3 linked regions of the Anolis sagrei genome follow. The protein of the gene in region 2 purifies or fractionates together with the protein of the main gene of each other region. This does not show direct contact. Links are inferred from orthologs where the notes say so. Each region holds a gene or a part of one and is shown on either strand. Other genes may lie near its edges.

Region 1 (7,873 bases), on a different chromosome or scaffold from region 2:
TTAAAATATTCAGAGAAGTACAGAGAAGTTTGCTAGATTTCATAGAAGCCTGTACTTTAAATTGCTAAATAAGGGAATACAGTAGTACAAAATGCAGCTTATGCCATCAGGTGTGTTCTGAAATCAATATAATCCAACAGGGATGAAGCTGAGCAGATCAGATCAGATCAATACTGGATCCCATGTGACTTGTTCTTATGTTGCCCAGTGAAGACTAGGATGGTAGCTATTGAAATCAGTAAGAGTCTAGAGAAATCAGCAAACCAATAAAATTATTCCTTTCAAAAAGACAGTAACCAGCAATCAGCCCAGAGAAAGCAGGGATATGTAAACAGGAGACCAAAGGAAATCTATCCCGTGTCCTTCTGACTTCATATTTTGGATAAAATCACAGTCTTCCTTAAATAAAAGATCTCCTAGATCTGATCTGCTCTAAGTACTCAGAGACAGCTGTGAAAGGTAGTGCTTTGTACCGTTTTTTTCTGGCAACATCAACTGGCATCTAGGCAAAGTATTACATAACTTGGCAATTTCTAAATTTGACACTCAACATATTAAAGTCCTGCCAAATCAGAAAAAAGTTTGCTCATTTGTGATCAAGGACCATACACATAATTAAACAATACTGCAAAAACTTCAATTGTGTATCTCTATTGTGGCTGCTTAATTGTTTTTACAATCAGATAATCTTTTTTATCAATGACCTCACAATATTCTTTATCCAGTTGACCACAGTTCAAAAAGGATATTGATAAACAGGAACAGAGGCCAATATGATCAAACATAAGAAACCAAGTCTTAAGAAGAACAAGTCAGGGAACTGGATATGTTTAGTTTAGAGAAGACAAAACAGAGATACTGAGATATGTATATAGGACACCAATCCTTGGTGGATTAGAGACATGAGAGTTGGCTTTAAATATCTGAAGGGGTGTCATGTAGAAGATGGAACCATCTTATTATTTGCTGCTCCAGAGACTACAACATAAACCAATGGATTCAAATTACAAGAAAGGAAATTCCATCTGAACATTAGGAGCCCTTTTTTATTGTAAGAGAGGTTCAGCACTGGAACAGATTGCCTTACAGAAGTGGTCCTCAACCTGTGGGTCTCAGATGTTGTGACCTTCATGGCCAGAATCACTGAGTTGCTATAAGTTTTTCGGGATGTATTCCAGAAGCATTCTCTCCTCCTGAGGAGAGAGTATCCTGAGGAGTGAATGCTTCTGGAACATGGCCATACAACCCGAAAAACTTACAGCAATCCAGGGATGTTAAACTTTCACAATGCTATCCATAGCTTTTGTGTGTGTGTATATATATATATATATACACACATACATATATGTTTGTGTGTGTGTGTATAGCAGGAGTTATACTTTAAAATGTATCTATTCCAACTTACATACAAAATCAAATTTTGGGTTGTTGTAGGTTTTTTTCAGGCTATATGGCCATTGTCTAGAGGCATTTTCTCCTGACGTTTCGCCTGCATCTATGGCAAGCATCCTCAGAGGTATATTCAACTTTTTTTAAAAAATTCATGTCAGGAGCGACTTGAGAAACTGCAAGTTGCTTCTGGTGTGAGAGAACTGGCTATCTGCAGGGACGCCTGGATTTGTGTGTGTGTATGTGTTTTATCATACTTGTGGGAGGCTTCTCTCATGTCCCCGCATGGGGAGCTGGAGCTGACAAAAGGGAGCTTATCCGCGCTTTCCCCAGTTTCAAACCTGCGACTTGTCGGTCTTCAATCCTGCCGGCACAAGGGTTTAACCCACTGCACCATCGGGGGCTCCTACAAATTCAACTGAAGAACAACTCATAACCCGAGGACTGCCTGTATATGGTCACTATTCCTTTAACTGGGCAGGCATATCTGATAAGAATCCACTTGGTGATAATATTATTGTGTCTGGTGGCTTCCTGTGGTTTGGTCAGAAAGTCAGTCCGAAAGCAATGGAAAATGGAGAGAAACCTACAAAGCTGGGCCTGGGCAAACTTTGGCCCCTCCAAGCGTTTCGGACTTCGATTCTGCTTAAGCGGCTGAGGGGGAAAAGGGAGGGGCCTGAGGCTGTTAGGAATGGTGGGAGTTGAAGTCCAAAACACCCCGAGAGCTGAAGTTTGCCATGCCTGATGGAGACTGGAGAATTCATGTAGTTTGCCATCACTTGAACTGCCATGGCTCAGTGTGCTGGGATCTGAGAAATGCAAGTGAGATGCTCTACAACAGGCATGGACAACTTCAGCCCTCAGGTGTTTTGGCCTCTAACTCCCACAAATTCCTCAGACCCTTTCCTTTTTCCTTAGGAAAGGAAAACGATGGGGTCTGAGGCTGTTAGGAATGGTGGGAGTTGAAGTCCAAAACACCTGGAGGTTGGACCAAAAGTAGCCTGTACTTTTGTGGAGGGAAGATCACTTCATCAGGTGCAACGCAAAGACTCTGCTGTGTCCCTTTGGAACATCACTCAGTGTGGGAGCATCCGCTGCCAGGGCTATGGAAGTGTGAGAGGAAGTTACCCGGGCCGGGCCAGACTTGGGCAAACGTTGGCCCCTCCAAGTGTCTTGAACTTCAACTCCCATCATTCCTAACAGTCTCAGGCCCCTTCCTTTTGCCCCTCAGCCGCTTAAGCGCCTGAGGGGCAAAAGGAAGGGGCCTGAGACTGTTAGGAATGATGGGAGTTAAGTCCAAAACACTTCAATGCTATGGAAGTGTGAGAGAGGCATTTTCCCGGGCTCTTCCGCCTTCTCTGCCACCTGGTGCCCCGTCGGATGACAACTCCACGACCCCACAGCAAGGAGCCATGGCAGCCTTGCCCAGTGAGGAAAGATGCCGCCTTGGGGGAGGCGGGTGCGAGGCGTCCGCTCACCGGCCACGAGTTGCCCCCTCCTGGGGCAGTTCAGCCACCGCGGGGGGATCTTGTTGAAGGACATGGCGGAGGAGGAAGAGGACGCCGTCGCCGCTTCCTCTCCCCTGGCAGCAACACTTCCCAGCGCTTGCCGTCAAGCCCAGCAACGCCGCCGGACCACAATGCACCGGGGGCAGAGCGCCACCGGTTCCGCTTCCGGAATGCTGCCGGCTTCGACCGCTCTGGCAACGGAAGGGAGGCGGGTTCTCGTACACTCTATGGTTAGAGGGCCTTCCACGAGTCAGAGCACAAAGCTGATCATTCTGGACATGTCATTGGGCCACTTAAAGGTGTATTGTCGAAGGCTTTCATAGAATCATAGAATCAAAGAGTTGGAAGAGACCTCGTGGGCCATCCAGTCCAACCCCCTGCCAAGAAGCAGGAATGTTGCATTCAAATCACCCCTGACAGATGGCCATCCAGCCTCTGTTTAAAAGCTTCCAAAGAAGGAGCCTCCACCACACTCTGGGGCAGAGAGTTCCACTGCTGAACGGCTCTCACAGTCAAGAAGTTCTTCCTCAGGTTCAGATGGAATCTTCTTTCTTGTAGTTTGAAGCCATTGTTCCATTGTGTCCTAGACTCCAGGGCAGCAGAAAACAAGCTTGCTCCCTCCTCCCTATGACTTCCTCTCACATATTTATATATGGCCCTCATCATGTCTCCCCTCAGCCTTCTCTTCTGCAGGCTAAACATGCCCAGCTCTTTAAGCCGCTCCTTATAGGGCTTGTTCTTCAGACCCTTGATCATTTTAGTCGCCCTCCTTAGGACACATTCCAGCTTGTCAATACCTCTCTTCAATTGTGGTGCCCAGAAGTGGACACAATATTCCAGGTGTGGTCTTTGACAAAATAGAAATAAAGCAAAAACAAACAAACAGTTAGAAATGAACAGTTTAAAATATGCCAATAAAACAGCCTAGGATAAAACATGTAGTTGATAAACCTCATAGATAATACAATAATCTGATAAAATCTGTATAGATATATAAAAGTATACAAATGTGAATACGTGGCTCTCCAATGAGTTAAGGTAATATAATTTCTGTCAGCAAACCATATACAAACAGTATTAAACGTTGATATTAAAACAATCCACGTTAAAACCTTAAAAGCATATAAAATCACATCGCAAAAGCACAGCAGCCCTTGATGGTCTTAAACGCCTTCGTCTTTAAAAGCCTGCAGGGAGGAGGCCGTTCTGGTTTCTGGTTATGGTTCACAGAAGTTAGCTGATGCGACTTAAGGCCCTTCTACACTAGACCAAGGGCAAGATCCGCCAACAGAGAGCTCTGGCGTGGGCTGGTCCATGAGATCATGAAGAGTCAGAAGCAACTGAACGAATAAACAGCAACATAATAGATATAATGCACTTTGATGCCACCTTGACTGCCATGGCTCAATGCTATAGGATCTTGGGATTTGTAGCTTGGTGAGACTCCAACACTCCTTGGCACACCCCCTGAAAAAAACTCAACCCCCCCCCCCCCCCGAATCGAAATCCTGGCTACGGGCCTGCACAACACACAATTTGGACAGCTCTGGTTTAGAGATGTTTCGAAAGAATACATCTCTAGGGATTTGCAGGTCCTCCAGCATGATTCTGTGGCCAGCAGAAGTTGTTCATAGTCACATTGGAGAACCTAGAGATTCTAAAAGCAATTTTTTAAAATTACCTTTTTAAAATGCATTTTCCCACTTTTATAGTGACCTTATGCTCCTCAGTAAATTGGAAGAATTATTCCTCTTAGTGACTTTTAAAATATTTACATGTCGGTTTCAGAACAGTAGATGGAGCCATAACTCCACTCACAAGAATACACAAAGCTTCCGCTGGAGGCGATTGCAGCTATAACAATGTGCTGCAATGTTTCTGGTGCCATCTAATTTTGGCTTCTTCAGATCATGCTGAAAGGCAATTGCTCAAATAGGCAGTAAACCATTGTCAGTCAGCTGAGTAGATTCAATATCAAACCAGTAGGAACTTGGAGTTACAGTACAGCGTTGCCTCTGTGAATAAGGAGGCGTGGATGTCTAGCTCAGACATGGGCAAACTTCTGCCCACCAGGTGTTTTGGACTTTAACTCCCACAATTCCTAACAGCCTCAGCCCCCTTCCTTTCTTTCCTTTCCACTTAAGCGGCTGAGAGGAAAAAGGAAAGGGTCTGAGGCTGTTAGAAATTGTGGGAGTTGGAGTCCAAAACATCTGGAGGGCCGAAGTTTGCCCATGTCTGCTCTAGATGCATATTACAGTTGCTACTTTCAGTAGCATTTGCTTGTTTCTATACTTTTGCATTCATTCTCTTAATCGGGTCATGTTAAAATAATGCTTTAGTCCCTACCTAGGTGAGTGTTCCATAAAACCCAATGGCACTTACTTCGGAGGAAACAGCCATGGGAGCCCACTGGAAAATAATAATAATAATAATAATAATAATAATAATAATAATAATGAGGAGATATTGGAAAATAGATATTTATTGATTTATGCATAACATTGTAAGTACTTTACAAACACTGAAATATAGAAAAATCTAGTTCTCTCTGTGTGTAGAAAGAATGCTGAAGGAGATCTGTGTCCAAGGCATGGCAGGAGGGAGGAGAAGGGGGGCAGGTTATCTCTACATTCCAGGAGATAAGCCCATCCTAGCGGGTACAACTAGGCTCTAAGGAAGGAGCCAATCCCCCCTCCCTCCTGACAACTCAAAGTGGGCCTCTTGACTGATGGATGCAGGCTGCTCCTAGAAATACACAGACATGCCTTTTTGCATGTTGGAGGTTAGAACTTGATGCTAAGATGACGTAGGAATTACGTTAATGTATGTAGTAGCATGTTTCTTTGTTTGACTCCGATTGGAGACTATAAAAGGCACAGTCAATGCCTCTATCATTTGCTCTGGTGCTTTAGGAGAGAACTCCTCACCAGGGTCCCAGCTGGTAATAAATCCGTGCTTTTCAGACCTCTGGGACTCTCTTTGCCTCTCCTTTCCTTGGAACCTTTTCCCTGCCATTTCAATAATAATACTTTATTTATATTCTGCCGTTCTCACCCAAAGGGGACTCGGAGCAGATCACAATACACATACACGGCAAACATTCAATGCCACTCTGTATAGACAATACACAGACAGACAGAACAAAAGGAGGTGTGTGTTGTTTCGACTCGGTGTCCAGCTGTAGGTGCCGTGGAAGGTGAGTCCAGCCTCTGGGGGGTGATGTCACTCCATCCTCTGTGATGAAGAACTGTGAGAACTTCCTCCTTCCTTTTGGTCAACCAGCATTTTCTGATCTTCTTTCTTTATGCTGTCGTAAAACACCTTTCCCACTTTTAGCGGTAATTTCTCTAATCACAGCTAAAGCTGTTTTCGGCTGCTTAGGTAAACAGTGAGCAGGGCTGACAGTCGGCAGCTCATGCCGATCCAAGGCTTTGAACTTGCAACCTTTCGGTTGACAGATCTTATAGTTGCTGGTGATTTACCAGCTGTGCTAAACCTCTGGCCCTTATATGTATGTATTTTCCTATATGTATGATTTATTCCTATATGTATATACTGCTCTTCCATCCTATTGACCTACAAAGTGACAAACAGTGTGTGTGTGTGTGTGTGTGTGTATGTGTATGTGTATCCATATATTTGTAAAAAACATAATATATGAGACATAAACAGATCATAGTAGAGTTCTATAAAGTGGGGGGGGGGGGCGAATAAAGCTCAAATGACTCTGATGCTAATGTTTTCCATGCCGGCATGTCTTCTACAGAGAGCCAGATGAATGTAATGTGCAAGCCTGGGCAAATTTCACTGAGAATGAAACTTAACTCCCTCCCACCTTGCATTACAGTCCTGAGTTGGGATCACTTAGCTAAAAGAAAGAGCTGGGAGGATTTAAAAGGAAGAGCTGGGAGATGCATCCACATATCTCCATCATAACATAAAGTACAGTGCTCTAGACAAGTAGGAATTCCTCTTCCCTCGGTCAGTATCAGTCACCTTGGCATTCTCTGAATCTGCCTTGGCATATTCTTTCAATGGGCAAATCCATATGGCATGCAAATTATGTTATGGTAATTGGTTTGATAGTTGCCGATCTTCAAGATATTAAATTTACAATTTGCATGCCTCAACCAAAGATCAGGAATTATGGTAATTCAGACCAGATGCGGTGGATCACTTGGGAGGGATAAATTGGAAAAAAAGAATTGGTTTGGAAAGATTCACATACTGACACACATGGACTGGGAAACGTGGCCGGCACGTGGTGGAAGGAACATGAAGAGGAGGCAGTCCTTTGCTAAAGACACCGCATGTGATGAGTGGGAGGATAAAACAAGCAGGCACTTATGGCAGTTACAAACAACATGGCACAAAACAAATGACAGCACAGTCGGCCCTACAAATTAGCAGGTTTTGCTATTATAGATTATTCATAAATTTTATTGATATGGTCCCTCTAGGCCTTCCAGTGTAACTTGATGGCCAACCTCCACCACAAGTCTAGAGGACCTATGGATTCCTTTTAAGATAGATTCCTTTTTATTTGCCGTATTTCCACTTTTGTGGGGGTTCTGTGCCTCTAACCCTAGCAAATGTGGAGGGATGACTAGTTGAAACAAATTACACTGTTGAATCCTGTATCACAGAAAAACCTCTGGTGTCCACAGGAATGGTTACTCACTGTGCCTCATTTTTGTTTAGGCTCATATGAACTGAAAATGTAAAAAGACAAGATCGGTGCAATCGGCATAACTTTCACACTGCATGAATTCACCAAGAGCCTCAAAACTGAACTAAGTCAACTGCAAATTGTAGGCAGAAGAAGAAGAGGCTTGAACCCACTTTTAGAAGCCCGTGTGGAGAATTGCTCTTTTTAGCCAGCTTTTTTTCTAACCCAGAGCTAAGAATCTTTGGCTAGATTACATAACCATTATGACAATCTCTCCAACTGTATTGATTTGACAGAGAGAACCCCA
Region 2 (7,312 bases):
TCAAAATAAATTTAACTGCGCACAATAACGTACTCTACTTCCTTTGTTCAGATTAAGGAAACTATTAGGGAAGCTGCTGGGAGAGATCATCTGGAGTTTTGGAGTTTGATGTCAAATTTACGCTGATGACACCCAATTGTATTACTCATTTCCAGCGAAAGCCTAGGGTGCCGTCCTGCCCCTAAACTTGTGCCTGTCTTCAGTAATTGACTCGGCGAGGGCTAATAAGCTAAAGGTAAATCTAGACAAAACAGAGGCACTACTGGTCAGTATTATTATGATGTTCTACATTAGTTGTCACGTTGGCTAATGACAAAAGATTTTATTCTCAGGATTACATACCTGCGAACGCTAGCAATCGTCTCCCGGTTTTTGAAGCGGCTGAAGCGAGCGGTGTAGTTCAGCGTTTTCATGAAGACTTCAGAGAGCTCCTGCTCATCTTCTGCACTCTCATTCTGCTGCTTTCGATGTTCAAGAAGCATGTGCACTTCTGAATTGAGAAGGGTTTCAGCAGTCTCAAACTCTGTAGGTAAAGATGGGTGGAACGGATCAAAAGAAACAGAAAAAGACAGCTTTATGGGTGCTATTTTAGGATTGGTCTGTGTGTGAAGCAGGAATAGGTGGTAGTACTTAAGGTTATTAACAAAAATGAGAAAAACAATAATATGACTGATCCTATGAAAAATACTAAAGAGAAATATCCAGAATATGCACAGAATATAAAATATATAAACAAACTAGCCATCCTCTGCCACACGTTGCTGTGGCCCAGTCTGTGAATATGTGTTTTGTGTATGTATGTATGTGTATATGTGTATATATGTGGTTTCACGCATGCGTTGCAATGTTGCTGTTTTTTTTGCTTTTTAAGTCTTTTCTGCTGTGTTTTCCAGTGTTTTTATGGGTGATGGTCACTCGTTGGCCTGATAGGTGTATTGTGTCCAAATTTGGTCTCAATTTGCCCAGTGGTTTTTGAGTTATGTTAATCTTACAAATGAACACTACATTTTAATTGATAAAGACTAGCCATCCCCTGCCACGCACTGCTGTGGCCCAGTCTGTGTATATGTGCTTTGTGTGTATATATATTTGTGTTTATGTGTATATAAGTGCACATCCATTGTAATGTATTTTTTTAAATTTTTTTTTGCTTTTTAAGTCTGTTCTGCTGTGTTTTCCAGTATTTTTATGAGTGATGGTCACTTGTTGCCCTGATAGGTGTATTGTGTCCAATTGTCCACTGGGTATTACACAGTTGCTCCCCCTCAGCGGTTTTTGTCCCCAGAGTATATTTCCCCACCTGTATGAAGGTCTATATTTATGACCCCGTTCCTTACGAGTTTCTTCCCCACAAACAATCTGCTCCATCTCTATCTCATCCTGATTTTAGTATTTTTGGTATCTAGTTTATTTATTTATTTAGCAATTTTGTATACCGGTCTTCTCCCCTCTATCAGGGGACTCGAGCCGGTTTCCAACAATAAAATCACAAAACAATAATTAAAAACATCATATAACATATTCAATTAAAACGTTATAACAGCAAAATGCAATCACATAATAACAATGGTCAGTCGTCATAGTGAATTCGTTGTCCATCATTCATCATCATCTATCCGATCACAGAAATATTGATTTACTCGTCGAAAGCCAAACCCCATAGCCAGGTTTTCACCCATTTTCTGAATGACAGAATGGAGGGGGCAGTTCTGATCTCCAGTGGGATAGAGTTCCAGAGTCGAGGGGCCACCACCGAGACGGACCTGTCCCTCGTCCCCACCAGACGCGCCTGAGAGGCCGGTGGGACCGAGAGCAGGACGAGGGACAGGTCCTTCTCGGTGGTGGCCTCCAGACGATCTTAACAACCTAGATGGTTCATAGGTGAGAATACATTCGGACAGGTAAACTGGGCCGGAGACGTTTAGGGCTTTATAGGTTAACACCAGCACTTTGAATTGTGCTTGGAAGCTAATTGGCAGCCAGTGGAGCTGGCGCAACAGAAGAGTAGTATGCTCCCTGTACCCTGCTCGTGTTAGCATTCTGGCTGCCGCATGTTGGACTAGTTGGAGCTTCCGGGCAGTCTTCATAGGCAACCCCACGTTGCAGTAATCTAAACTGGATGTAACCAAAGCGTGGACCACTGTGGCCAAGTCAGTTTTATCTTGCACATGCGGCCCGCTCATTGTTATGTTATTTAAAACAAATTATTTTGTTTTATCGTTTTTGTATTCATATGTTGTATGTATTTTACTGGGTTGTTATTGTTTACTTTATTATAATATGCTGTTGGGCTTGGCCTCATGTAAGCCATCCCGAGTCCCCATTGGGGAGATGGTGGCGGGATGTTAAATAAAGTTTATTATTATTATTATTATTATTATTATTATTATGGGTTTTGAGTTATGTTAATCCCACAAACAAACGTTATATTTTTATTTATACAGATTGTAATATGACTATTGGCTGTGGCTAATAAAACTGTTATCCCGATCACATCAGCTACATCTTCAGGTAGTTCACGGCTGTTAGGAATTATGGGAATTGAAGTCCAAAAGACCTGGAGGGCCCAAGTTTGCCCATGCCTGATCTACACTGCACTTTGTCACCATTTAAGTGCCATAGCTGAGTGTTATGGCATCCTGGGAGCTGTAGTTTGACGTGGTGCTAACACTCTTGCGCAGCGAAGCCTAAAGACCTTGAAAAAACTACACCTCCCACAGGACTGAGCCATGGCAGTTCAAGTGGGGCCAAACTGCATTCATTCTACTGCCTGGATGCACACTGCATGTGTTGTTTTGAAAGGATCCCGTAGGTCTGCCTCCTCTGGAGCAACTTCCATGTCCTCCCAAGCCCACGGCGTTTCCCTTCCCTCGGAGCCAGTCGCTCACCTTTGGGGAAGACCAGCTGGGAGGCGTCTTCCTCCACGTCCACGGCCCGCACGTCCGACCCTCCGGCCGCCATTGAGTGCCTTTCCACAGCCCGGAAACTCAAGAAAAGGGAAGAGAAGGGAAGTCGAGCCTCTGCTGCGGGCGCCCCCTTGAGGGCGGGAGAGGACACGCGCTCTTCCGTCACCATCATGTGGCATGAATCCCAGTGCCTTGTTTCAATGTCCAGGGTGCCCCGACACAGCGTTTTTCAACCTAGGGATCGGGACCCCTAGGGAGTCATGAGGGATGTCAGAGGGGTCTCCAAAGACATCAGCAAATTTTCTGTTGGTCATGGGGATTCTGTGTGGGAAGTTTGCCCCCATTCTATCATTGGTGGGGTTCAGAGTGCTCTTTGATTGGAGGCGAACTATAAATCCCAGCAACTACAACTCCCAAATGTCTATTTCCCCACAAACTCCACCAGTACACACATTTGGGCATATTGAGTATTTGTGCCAAGTTTGGTCCAGATCCATCATTGTTTGAGTCCACAGTGCTCTCTGGATGTAGCAGAACTACAACTCTAAAACTCAAGGTCAACGGTCACTAAACTCTTCCAGCATTTTCTGTTGGTCGTGGGAGTTCTGTGTGGGAAGTTTGCCTCAATTCTGTCGGTGGGGTTCAGAATGTTCTTTGATTAGAGGCGAACTATAAATCCCAGCAATTACAGCTCCCAAATGTCAAGGTCTATTTCCCTCAAACTCCACCAGTGCTCACATTTGGGCATATTGAATATTCATGCCAAGTTTGGTCCAGATCCACAGTGCTCTCTGGATGTATGTGAATTGCAAGGTAAGTGCCCACCAAACTCTTCCAGTATTTTCTGTTGGTCATGGGAGTTCTGTGTGAGAAGTTTGGCCCAATTCCATTGTTGGTGGGGTTCAAAACGCTCTTTGATTGTACATGAACTGTCAATCCCAGCAACTACAACTCCCAAATGTCAAGGTCTATTTTCCCCAATCCACCAGTGCTCACATTTGGGTATATAGAGTATTTCTGTCAAGTTTGGTCCAGATCCATCATTGTTTGAGTCCACAGTGCTCTCTGGATGTATGTGAACTACAACTCCAAAACTCAAGGTCAATGCCCCCCAAACCCTTCCAGTATTTTCTATTGGTCGAGGGGGTGCCGTGTATCAAGTTTGGTTCAATTCCATTGTTGGCGGAGTTCAGCATGCTCTTTGATTGTAGATGAACTATCAATCCCAGCAATTACAACTTCCAATTTAAAAAATAAATTTCCACAAGCCCACCAGTGTTCACATCTGGGCATACTGAATATCCCTGCGAAGTTTAGTCCAGATCCATAATTGTTTGAGTCCACAGTGCTCTCTGGATGTAGGTGAACTAAAACTCCAAAACTCAAGGTCAATGCCCACCAAACCCTTCCAGTATTTTCTGTTGGTCATGGGAGTTCTGCGTGCCAAGTTTAGTTCAATTCCATTGTTGGTGGAGTTCAGAATGCTCTTTGATTGTAGGTGAACTATAAATCCCAGCAACTACAACTCCCAAATGACAAAATCAACCCCCCCCCCCAACCCCACTAGTATTGATATTTGGGCGTATTGGGTATTTGTGCCAAATTTGGTCCTGTTAATGAAAATACAACTTGCATATCAGATATTCACATTACAATTCATAAAAGTAGCAAAATTACAGTTATGAAGTAGTAATGAAAATAATGTTATGGTTGAAGGTCACAACATGAGGAACTGCATTAAGGGGTCGTGACATTAGGAACCACTGACTTAACAGAAGGGAGTCTACTAATACAGTGCTGCAGAATTCGAGGAGGCACGAGTGGAGGGTGAAAGAAAGAAACGTGCCAGGAGGAAGGCGCGTCAAGCCAACCCCGACCGGGACCGCCTTCCACCTGGAAACCAATGCCTTCACTGTGGGAGAAGATGCGGGTCAAGAATAGGGCTCCACAGCCACCTACAAACCCACAAAAATAGTAATCAAGGAAGACCATCTTACTCGTCCAACGAGGGATCGCCTAAGTAAGTAAATAAGTAAGTAAGTAAGTACTAATACTTTTGGTATAGCACAGTTTGATGAAGGGTATATCTACAACAATGCAGTTTGACACCACTTTTAGGACCTTTCCAGACAGGCCCTTTATTCCAGGTTTAAACTGAATTATATGAATCCCCACTGATATATAATCTGTGATACACAAAACCAGGGATCAGATCCTGGGATATAGAGCCTGTCTGGAAGGGCCCCGAGTTTCATGGCTCAAAAGCTATGGAATTGTGGGATTTGTAGTTTGCTGAGGCACCAGCACTCCATGGAGCAGACCTTATTGAACTGCAGCTTCCTTGATTCCATCACCTTGAGTCACTGCATAAAAGTTGTTGCTATTATTTGTATCCTTTATCTCTCTGAAAATGAGACTCAGGGCCCATCCACACAGCTATATAACCCAGAATATGAAGGCAGATAACCTACAATATCTGCTTTGAACTGAGGACCCTTCCAGGCAGGCACCCTATCTCCCAGAATTGTATACCAGTTTTCTGCATTAAACTGGATTATGCCAGATAATCTGGGATAAACACAAAATTTGGGATTGAAATGGAGCAATTTGATGCAGCTGCAGATAGTGAAATCTGAGCTGCGGAGAGCCGGAATCTGGGACCGGGAGCCAAGTCCTTTAAGCAGTGATTGGCAAAGAGCCTGGCTGCCCCGAGAGGAGGCCTAATCTGACTAAATTAAGCTCTTCAAGTTGGGGAAAAGCCACCAAACTTTTTATTAGTCAACTGAAGTAATGCCAGCATGCGGTAATCTGCCAAAAATAAGCTGAGATACATAGTACCATAAAAATGCATTTTTGCATTCAAAGTTCCCACCACCCCCAGCTGGACCCGGCTTCTCCGTGATTGGCTGAGTCGGCAAGATGTCAGCAGGGACTCCGTGCAGAGGCAGGAATTTGGCACATCTCAGCCAATAAGAGAGCACTGGCTGCCTCTGATGCAGATTTCCCTCTGTCCAATGGTTAGAGAGGGGTTGGCACATCCCAGAACAATGGGTGAAGAAATGACTTGTGATGGGATTAAGTATTTCTGGTATGAAAAATACAATGGACCTAATAGGTTGTCACTTAGATGGTAATCTTGATTGAGTCCAGTGCCTATGACCGGTATTCTAATGGGTCAGGAAAAATAATACCAGACACACACAAATATGAAGGTTCTTGCTTTTATTTTTAACAAGATTTAGTCTCATTACCTTTGAGGTATGTTTTGTAATGAGAAATTTTGTGAAGGATTCCCACCCGCTTCATGCCGATTCTTCCACAATCCTCACTTTAGACTTCTGTTTCACTCATTTATTTATTTTATTTATTTTAAAAAACCCTTACAACATTTATTGTGGAATTCATAATGGATTTCGGCGTGAAAAGTAAATATTGACAAAGAACGGACACCAATAAAAAAGGGACAAGATAAAAATTGTATCCATTACAATTTATTTTCTACAATACTTCATTAGAGGGTAAAGTTCAATGATTTACACTCAGAGGTTATATAGCTAGGAGGCAACCAAGTGTAATAACAAAGAATGGTCTGATATCTCTGCACTGGTGGATAAGAAGTTCCTTGCTTTCAAAGAAAAAATAAACTAATCAAAATGTTAATGATGTTGGCGTTGGAAAATAAGCAGGAAATGGCATTTTGTCAGTGAAGACTGCAATGGTGAGAATGAATCAGGAAAAATAAGTTATGTGCAAAAATGGGGGGGGGGGATCACACACTACTGTACTTTGTCCACAAAATAATCAGATATAGTCAGGCCATAACATCTTTCTGTCTGAACGATCTCTGTTAAAGTTAGCTGTTCATTATGAGAAAGTAAAACTTCAGAAAGGAAATATTCAAAACACTGAACCTTCACCGATCAATGACATTCTCTGCTGTAATATGGAGATGAGGTGAGGAATTTTAAAAATAGCTTAAAAGATACATGGCGGCAGCAAGGAAAATTCACAACAATGAGTGTTTTGAAATGACTCCATCTTAGACCAAAAGGCACTTGCTTGTAGCTAAGGATGAGCCAATTCCCAGTCAGACCAGAAGGCTATTGCTAAGGTCCTTAGACGATCAAACTAATCAGGTGAAAATTACAACTGATTAGGCTTCCAGAATAAAGTATTAATACTGCACAGTTATAGCACTTTGATATTACTTTAACTGCCATGGTTCCATCCGGTAGGATTCTGGGATATGCAGTTTGATAAGGGACTCACAATTCTCTACTAGAGAGCTCTAGTCCTCCCCTGAACTACAACACTGAGAACTCTGTCTGGAACACTTTACCAAACTACAAATCCCGGGATTTCATGCAATAGAGCCATGGCAATAGAAGTGGAATCAAGCTGCTTTA
Region 3 (7,019 bases), on a different chromosome or scaffold from region 2:
ATCCTCCTAAGTTGCATCAACTAAAACTGAATCACCCCTTTTGCTCTTGTGAAATGAGTCAAAGGGCCAGTCTGCAAGAAACAATACATTACAGTGTATTATTATGGATAAGGAGAGCCAATGGACCAGCAAACATGTAGCAAAACATTACAGTGTGTTATTATGTACGATGAGAGCCGATGGACCAGTATGCCTGTAACAATATATTACTGTTAATTATTATGTGCCAGAATATTGGCTTCTTTGGTGCCAAACTCTCCCTCTCCTCCTAGCTTGGCTGCAAGGAGAAAGGAAAGCTTAATCTCATTTTCTAAAGTTTGCCATAGTGCACAAAACCTACAATGTTTAATCTGAGCAATGATTTGTTGAAACTATCTTCTTAATCCTAAATCTGATGTTTGCTAATTTCAGTAAACCACAGTTAAGATTTAACACAATTTTTCCAGGTTAGAGAGAGAACTAAATTATGCAGAGCTTGATTTCCTCTCCTTGATCACATTGGATGAAAGCAGAGGCAGGACAAAGAGGTGGCAAGAACACTACATAGTTTTAACCCATGCCGGGGGCCAATATAGTATATACCAGTGGTTCTCAACCTGTGGGTTCCCAGATGTTTTGGCTTTCAACTTCCAGAAATCCTAACAGCTGGTAAACTGGCTGGGATTACTGGGAGTTGTAGGCCAAAACATCTGAGGACCCACAGGTTGAGAACCACTGGCATATACTATCAGATTCAAAACTGCGGATATCCAGGCTCACATCCTTACTCACAAAGCAACCCTGTAGACATTTTAAATCAGTTTTGAATTTGTAACACAGGAAGATAATGAAAATGGGCGAAAAAAGCAAGTACTGGATAATTTTCAGGAAGAAATGCATTTTAAATTTCAAAAAATTACAGAAAAAGAACCAACACATACACCACTCACAGACTCTTACATTCTGCAGCCTATTTCGACAGATGGGGTAGCCACACAGTTTGACGATAAACCGCTCTTCCACAACATCTTTATAGTGAGAAGGTGTAATGAACTTCCCCTGAAAAGAAATAAACAGATTTGCCTTGAAATGTGGGTTTTCATGGATGAGCAGGGATACAAAGAAGCGGTGTGTAAAACAGTAGAAAGGAAGATTAGGAGGGGAGTCATTTGGGTTCGACAAAACAAGTTCAATTTCTGTTTTGGGAAGAATCTTCATGAAAACAGAATGGGTGGACGGACTCAAAATTGGAAACAAAAACAGAACAGATTTCTCCTGTTTCACACATCTCTAATTTACAAACCTTGGACTACAGTTGTTTTAGTCAATGCTCAAGCCTCTACCTCACGCTGAGTCTCCCTTTGGAATATGTCCTATAGGAAATGGGAAACCTTGCAGTCCTCCAAATGCTGTGAATTAAACTTTTAGAAGCACGAACCAGCCTAGACAATAGTGGGAAATGCTGACAACAGCAGCCCAAGGTCATTGAGAAGAGGACTTCTTAAACTTTTCCACTTGTGACACCTTTTGGCCCAATACAGTTTTACACAGCCCTGGGTAGATAAAACTGGTATAAAAATCAAACATTTCCTTTTGCAGAGTCTGCTGTAAATGCTGCACAACAGATTCATGTACATGTCTAAAACAGCAACTAGGTGACATTCAGAAAATGTTTACATTTGCCAATTTTTTCAGGACCCCCACATTGAGCTATGGGGACCTAGTTTGGAGACCCCAGTTTAAGAAGCAGTGATTGAGAGGGTTATATGATTCCCAGATAATTCACATTATCTGCTTTGAACTGGATTACATGAATCTACACTGCCAGATAATCCAGTTCAAATCAGATAATCTGGATTTTATATGGCAGTGTAGAAGGGGCCATAGACTGCCAAGCTAACACACATCTATGGTGCCTCTCCAAAGATTGATAAACTATCTTTGGAAAGGAACCATTAACTGCATAACAAGCTATAGGAGACCTTGACACATTTAAACTAAATATTTTATATAAATCTGCAACAAGACGACATACACAATTTGTGAGGAATTCTTCAGTGATATCGTCTTCTAAGAGGCGTTCAACCACCTTCAAGGCTTTTCGCTCATGCGCAATCTTCTTTCGAATAGCAGCTTCAAGTGCTGCTTTCCTACAAGGGGAAAAAATAGTGGTGTGACCCACATTTTGGCAATTCATATGAAGTTGCTTAAGAAACAAGTGGGTACGAACAGATCCAGCGCAAAACATTTGATGCCTGAAGCAAAGAACACAATGGCACCCACTTTTCATTTCAAACTGTGCCAGCTGGACTAAAGACCTGCCAGTCTTTAATAGGTTAAACAGGGCAGAATATGTGTCTCAAAGAGAAGGGAATATCAGAAAGTCATGAGAAACATCTAAAAGCCCTCAAATAAAAAGAAATACATTACAATGCATGCGCAAAACCACACACACATATATATAGATACCCAAATACACACACACAAAACACAAATACACAGATTTGGCCACAGCAATGTGTGGCAGGGGACAGCTAGTTGATTCATAAACCTTTTGAAGGATTTACAAAATAGATATAAACACATAATGCAACCAAACAGTTATTCTGAGAGACAGGATACCTTTGTGCAGCATCTTCATTTGTCAGGACACTGGGCTGTTTATTACCTAAGAGGAACAACCAAAAATACAGGGAGATGACAAACCACATGAAATCACATGATCAATTCAAGCTTTTGTAGGAACAGAGTGGGAACCCGCTGTTTGCTTAGGGAGAAACTTGCCCTTATAAAACTACAACTCCCACGATTCCATAGCACTGAGCCCTGGCAGTTCAACTATATTATTCCTACAGTAGTATAGGAATAATCACAGCTATAGAGCATCTCCCATCCCTAGAAAGCCACCCCCTTGGAAGATAGGATTGGTTTCGCCTCCACATATTGAGGAAGGGAGAAGGAACAGTCCATGTGATGAAAAGGGGGGGGGATAGATACAAACAGCTGCGTTTACCCGGGCGCCGGCGCTGCCTCCTGGCCTTGGAGCCGCTGCGGGTCCTCTCTTCCGCCATCGCTGCCGGGAAAGACCTCTAACCCCTCACTGCGCCTGCGTTGTTTGGGAAAGGGGCGTGGCTTCTCCCAAAGGGGCGTGGCCTGAGAATAGTCATGAGGCCGTGCTGGTAGACCGGTCTCTTTGGAAAGAGGGAAGGCGGAGGTAAGAGGAGGGAGTCTTGCTGCAGGTTGGGGTCACAGGCGGGAGGGCGCCAGGGAGGAGGGACAGCCCAGGTCTAAGGCATAGTAGTTTAGGAGGGATTCACTCTTTGTCTTTCGTTTCTAGGGTTCAGAGAGGCTCCCAAGTGAAGCCTGGAAAGGAGTTGCAGCCTTCTTTCACTTCCAAGGCTGGTGCAAGGGGAGTCTCCCTTCTCTGAAATGCTATGGGAGCCTGGGAGTTGTAGTTTGGAGGGAAAAATAAAGACCCTGTGAAACTACAACTCTCAGGATTCCATTGACAGGAAAGGCCTAAGGCCTTGTGAAACTACAATTCCCAGGATTTCTTTGGCAGGGAATGCTAAAGGCCTTGTGAAACTACAACTCCTATGATTCCTTTGACAGGGAAGTCTAAAGGCCTTGTGAAACTACAATTCCTAGGATTCATTTGGCAGGGACGGCCAAAGGCCTTGTGAAACTATAACTCCCAGGATTCATTTAGCAGGGAAAGCCAAAGGCCTTGTGCAACTATAACTCCTAGGATTCCTTTGGCAGGGAAGGCTAAAGGCCTTGTGAAACTATAACTCCCAGGATTCATTTAGCAGGGAATACCAAAGGCCTTGTGCAACTATAACTCCCAGGATTCCTTTGACAGGGAAGGCTAAAGGCCTTGTGAAACTATAACTCATAGGATTCATTTAGCAGGGAAGGCCAAAGGCCTTGTGAAACTATAACTCATAGGATTCCTTTGGCAGGGAAGGCTAAAGGCCTTGTGAAACTATAACTCCCAGGATTCATTTAGCAGGGAAGGCCAAAGGCTTTGCGAAACTACAACTCATAGGATTCATTTTTGCAGGGAAGGCTAAAGGCCTTGTGAAACTACAACTCCCAGGTTTCCATAGCATTGAGCCAGGGCAGTTACAGAGGTATCAAACTGCATTAATTATATAGTGTAGAAGCACCTGGGATGTATAGTCCCCCCCCCCCCCCAATGTACACACTTTTAACAGCTAATAATAGCTATGGAGATTATAGACTATAACGGAAACCTTTACCTTTATGGAGATTATTTGGATGTTAAATATATATGTTTATATTGAAGATGAAATGTTATACTAATTAGCTAAAGTTATAGATTCCATTTTAGAGTACGTTTACTTGTTCCTTGTGTGCCTCCCAATTCGTTTCAGACCTATGGAGAACCATTCACTGGGTTTGTACAGGAAGGTTTGTTCAGAAGTTATTTGCCTTGGTCTTCTGAGGCTGAGAGAGCATGACTTGCCCAAGGTTACCCAGAGGGTTTCTATGGCTGAGTGGGAATACGAACCCCGGTCTCAGAGTCATACTCCAATGCTGAAACCATAGAAGGAGTTCAAATTCATGTGCGAGCGCAGCCATGCAATGACCCCATGGTCAAAGCATAGAGTTGCACATTTCATTTGAGGTTTCACTACTAATTGTGCACCACATTGGAATCTTTGATCTTGTTAAGGATGTACTGGCAGTCCCCGAGTTACAAACATCTGACTTATAGACGACTCCTAGTTAAGAATGGGGGTGAGACAACAGGAAGTGAGAGAAATCTACTCCTAGGAAGGGAAATTCACTCCTGGAAGAGTTAGCATGGGGAAAACGTGTCTCCCCTGAAGCTTTATCACCAGTCCTTGTTTCCACAACAAGTCATATTTTTCACAATCCAATTCTCACAGGGACAGAAAGTGCTGTGAAATCTTCTGAACAGGGGAACAGACAGCAAAAGAAACACCATGGGCGTGTCAACCTTTCCCTATGCTAACCAAAGATAGGTAGATAGATATATATATCTCTGGAGTTGCACTTAATAAAATGTACCTGTTCTGACTTACATACAAATTCAACTTAAGAACAAACCTGCAGAACCTATCTTGTTTGTAACTTGGGGACTGTACACATTTTAATGCACCCTCCCCCTCTGTTATAAGCGGTTAAGGGTGTATACTTTTTATAGTTAAAGAGTAATTGCCCTTGAGCATGTGCAGAGTACTTTTTATCTATGTTGTATGGCAGTGGTTCTCAACCTGTGGGTCCCAGATGTTTTTGCCTCCTAACAGCTGGTAAACTGGGATTTCTGGGAGTTGTACGCCAAAACACCTGAGGACCCACAGGTTGAGGACCAATGTTGTATGGTCTCTGGTAGATTTGAACACTTTTTCAATCTCCTTCTAGCTACATAAATGGTCTTCCTTTAAGGAAACAATTAAAATGTTATTTATTGTGTCAGGAGCAACCAGACATTTGTATTACATTTTTAACAAAACAAGCAGACAAAACAGAAAGTTTGCAAGCTTGGTAGTTGATTAAATGTCCTTTGACCAGTATCTGGCCATTTGGAGTGCCTCTGGTGTTACCGCAAGGAGGTCCTCCATTGTGCTTGTGGCGGGGCTCAGGTTGCATTGCAGCAGGTGGTCAGTGGTTTGCTCTTCTCCACACTCGCATGCCGTGGATTCCACTTTGTAGCCCCATTTCTTAAGGTTGGCTCTGAATCTCGTGGTGCCAGAGCGCAGTCTGTTCAATGCTTTCCATGTTGCCCAGTTTTCTGTGTGCCCAGGGGGGAGTCTCTCATTTGGTATCTGCCATTGATTGAGGTTCTGGGTTGGAGCCTGCCACTTTTGGACTCTCACTTGCTGAGATGTTCCAGCGAGTGTCTCTGTAGATCTTAGAAAACTATTTCTTGATTTAAGTCGTTGACATGCTGACTGATACCCAAACAAAGGATTGGTCCTTTCACTATTGGTTGCTACTTCCCGGCGGATGTCAGGTGGTGCGATACCGGCTAGACAGTGTAATTTTTCCAGTGGTGTAGGGCGCAGACACCCTGTGATAATGCGGCATGTCTCATTAAGAGCCACATCCACTGTTTTAGTGTGGTGAGATGTGTTCCACACTGGGCATGCATACTCAGCAGCAGAGTAGCATAGCGCAAGGGGAGATGTCTTCACTGTGTCTGGTTGTGATCCCCAGCTTGTGCCAGTCAGTTTTCGTATGATATTGTTAATTGACAATTAAAATAATTTTTAAAGAAGGGGTTATGTTAGCCTGTTGTAGCATAACAAGAAGAAAAGCGAGGGAAAGGGTTGGGGGAAATCTAGCCACACTTTTTAAGATTAGTTTTTATTTTAGCATCCGTTTTTGTGGGTCAATGTCTACACAAAAAAGAAAGTTATAAACTAGAAATGTATCTTACAGGTGCTGCCAGATTCCTTTAATGTCCTGTTCAACTCCCTTTCCCCTGTTTTGCACGTTAAAGACCACTTGCTAGAGACTTTTTCTGGCCCCACAAAGCAGATAGCTTCCAAATACTACAATGTGCTCTTTGCTTCGCTTCCTCTTTGCCTGCTCTTACTTGGCTGTAACTTTACTTCTTTCTTGAATGGGATGAGAATAAGAAAATAAAAAATCTCCAAAAGGATTAATATGTAAAAGAAAACAATCTTCATGGTGGTGGGAATTGTAAATGTTGTGTATGTCCTAAAATAAAAAAAATATTAAAAAAATAAATTAATAGAAAGTTTATGTATACATCCTGGCTTTTAAAAGTCAGAGTATTTCAGAGCACTTTATTGCCCCTCAGCAGAACTGCTTCCTATAATATGCTTAATGGCCAGCTGTAAAGCTCTTAACTATACTTAATCAGAAGGTGTCCTTTTTAATTCTCATTAAACTAGGGTTGCCCTTTAAAACATTCTGGTAAATGGCAATGCAACACGTTTAGAGTATCTTGTTGAGTCCCACTTTCTGTTGTATTATAATTCAATAATATTTTGTCATTTAGGATTTTTGCAGTTCCCTTTTGG

What was found.
Region 1: the proteins of POLR2D (region 2) and RNGTT purify together in Homo sapiens (affinity purification with mass spectrometry; 3 studies listed by BioGRID and IntAct, with this or other methods). This does not show direct contact. The link is inferred for Anolis sagrei from reciprocal best matches to the Homo sapiens genes POLR2D and RNGTT.
Region 3: the proteins of POLR2D (region 2) and RPAP2 purify together in Homo sapiens (affinity purification with mass spectrometry; 5 studies listed by BioGRID and IntAct, counting the BioPlex papers as one, with this or other methods). This does not show direct contact. The link is inferred for Anolis sagrei from reciprocal best matches to the Homo sapiens genes POLR2D and RPAP2.

What each region holds. Positions count from the first base shown.
Region 1 is NC_090021.1:105,173,952-105,181,824, reverse strand, and holds the start of RNGTT (mRNA-capping enzyme), read right to left. Parts: upstream 3,044-7,873; 5' UTR 2,932-3,043; coding exon 2,868-2,931; intron 1-2,867.
Region 2 is NC_090023.1:220,841,958-220,849,269, reverse strand, and holds the start of POLR2D (DNA-directed RNA polymerase II subunit RPB4), read right to left. Parts: upstream 3,004-7,312; 5' UTR 2,962-3,003; coding exon 2,889-2,961; intron 524-2,888; coding exon 343-523; intron 1-342. UniProt on the Homo sapiens protein: Core component of RNA polymerase II (Pol II), a DNA-dependent RNA polymerase which synthesizes mRNA precursors and many functional non-coding RNAs using the four ribonucleoside triphosphates as substrates.
Region 3 is NC_090024.1:150,132,234-150,139,252, forward strand, and holds the start of RPAP2 (putative RNA polymerase II subunit B1 CTD phosphatase RPAP2), read right to left. Parts: upstream 3,086-7,019; 5' UTR 3,051-3,085; coding exon 2,993-3,050; intron 2,648-2,992; coding exon 2,602-2,647; intron 2,130-2,601; coding exon 2,015-2,129; intron 1,039-2,014; coding exon 940-1,038; intron 1-939.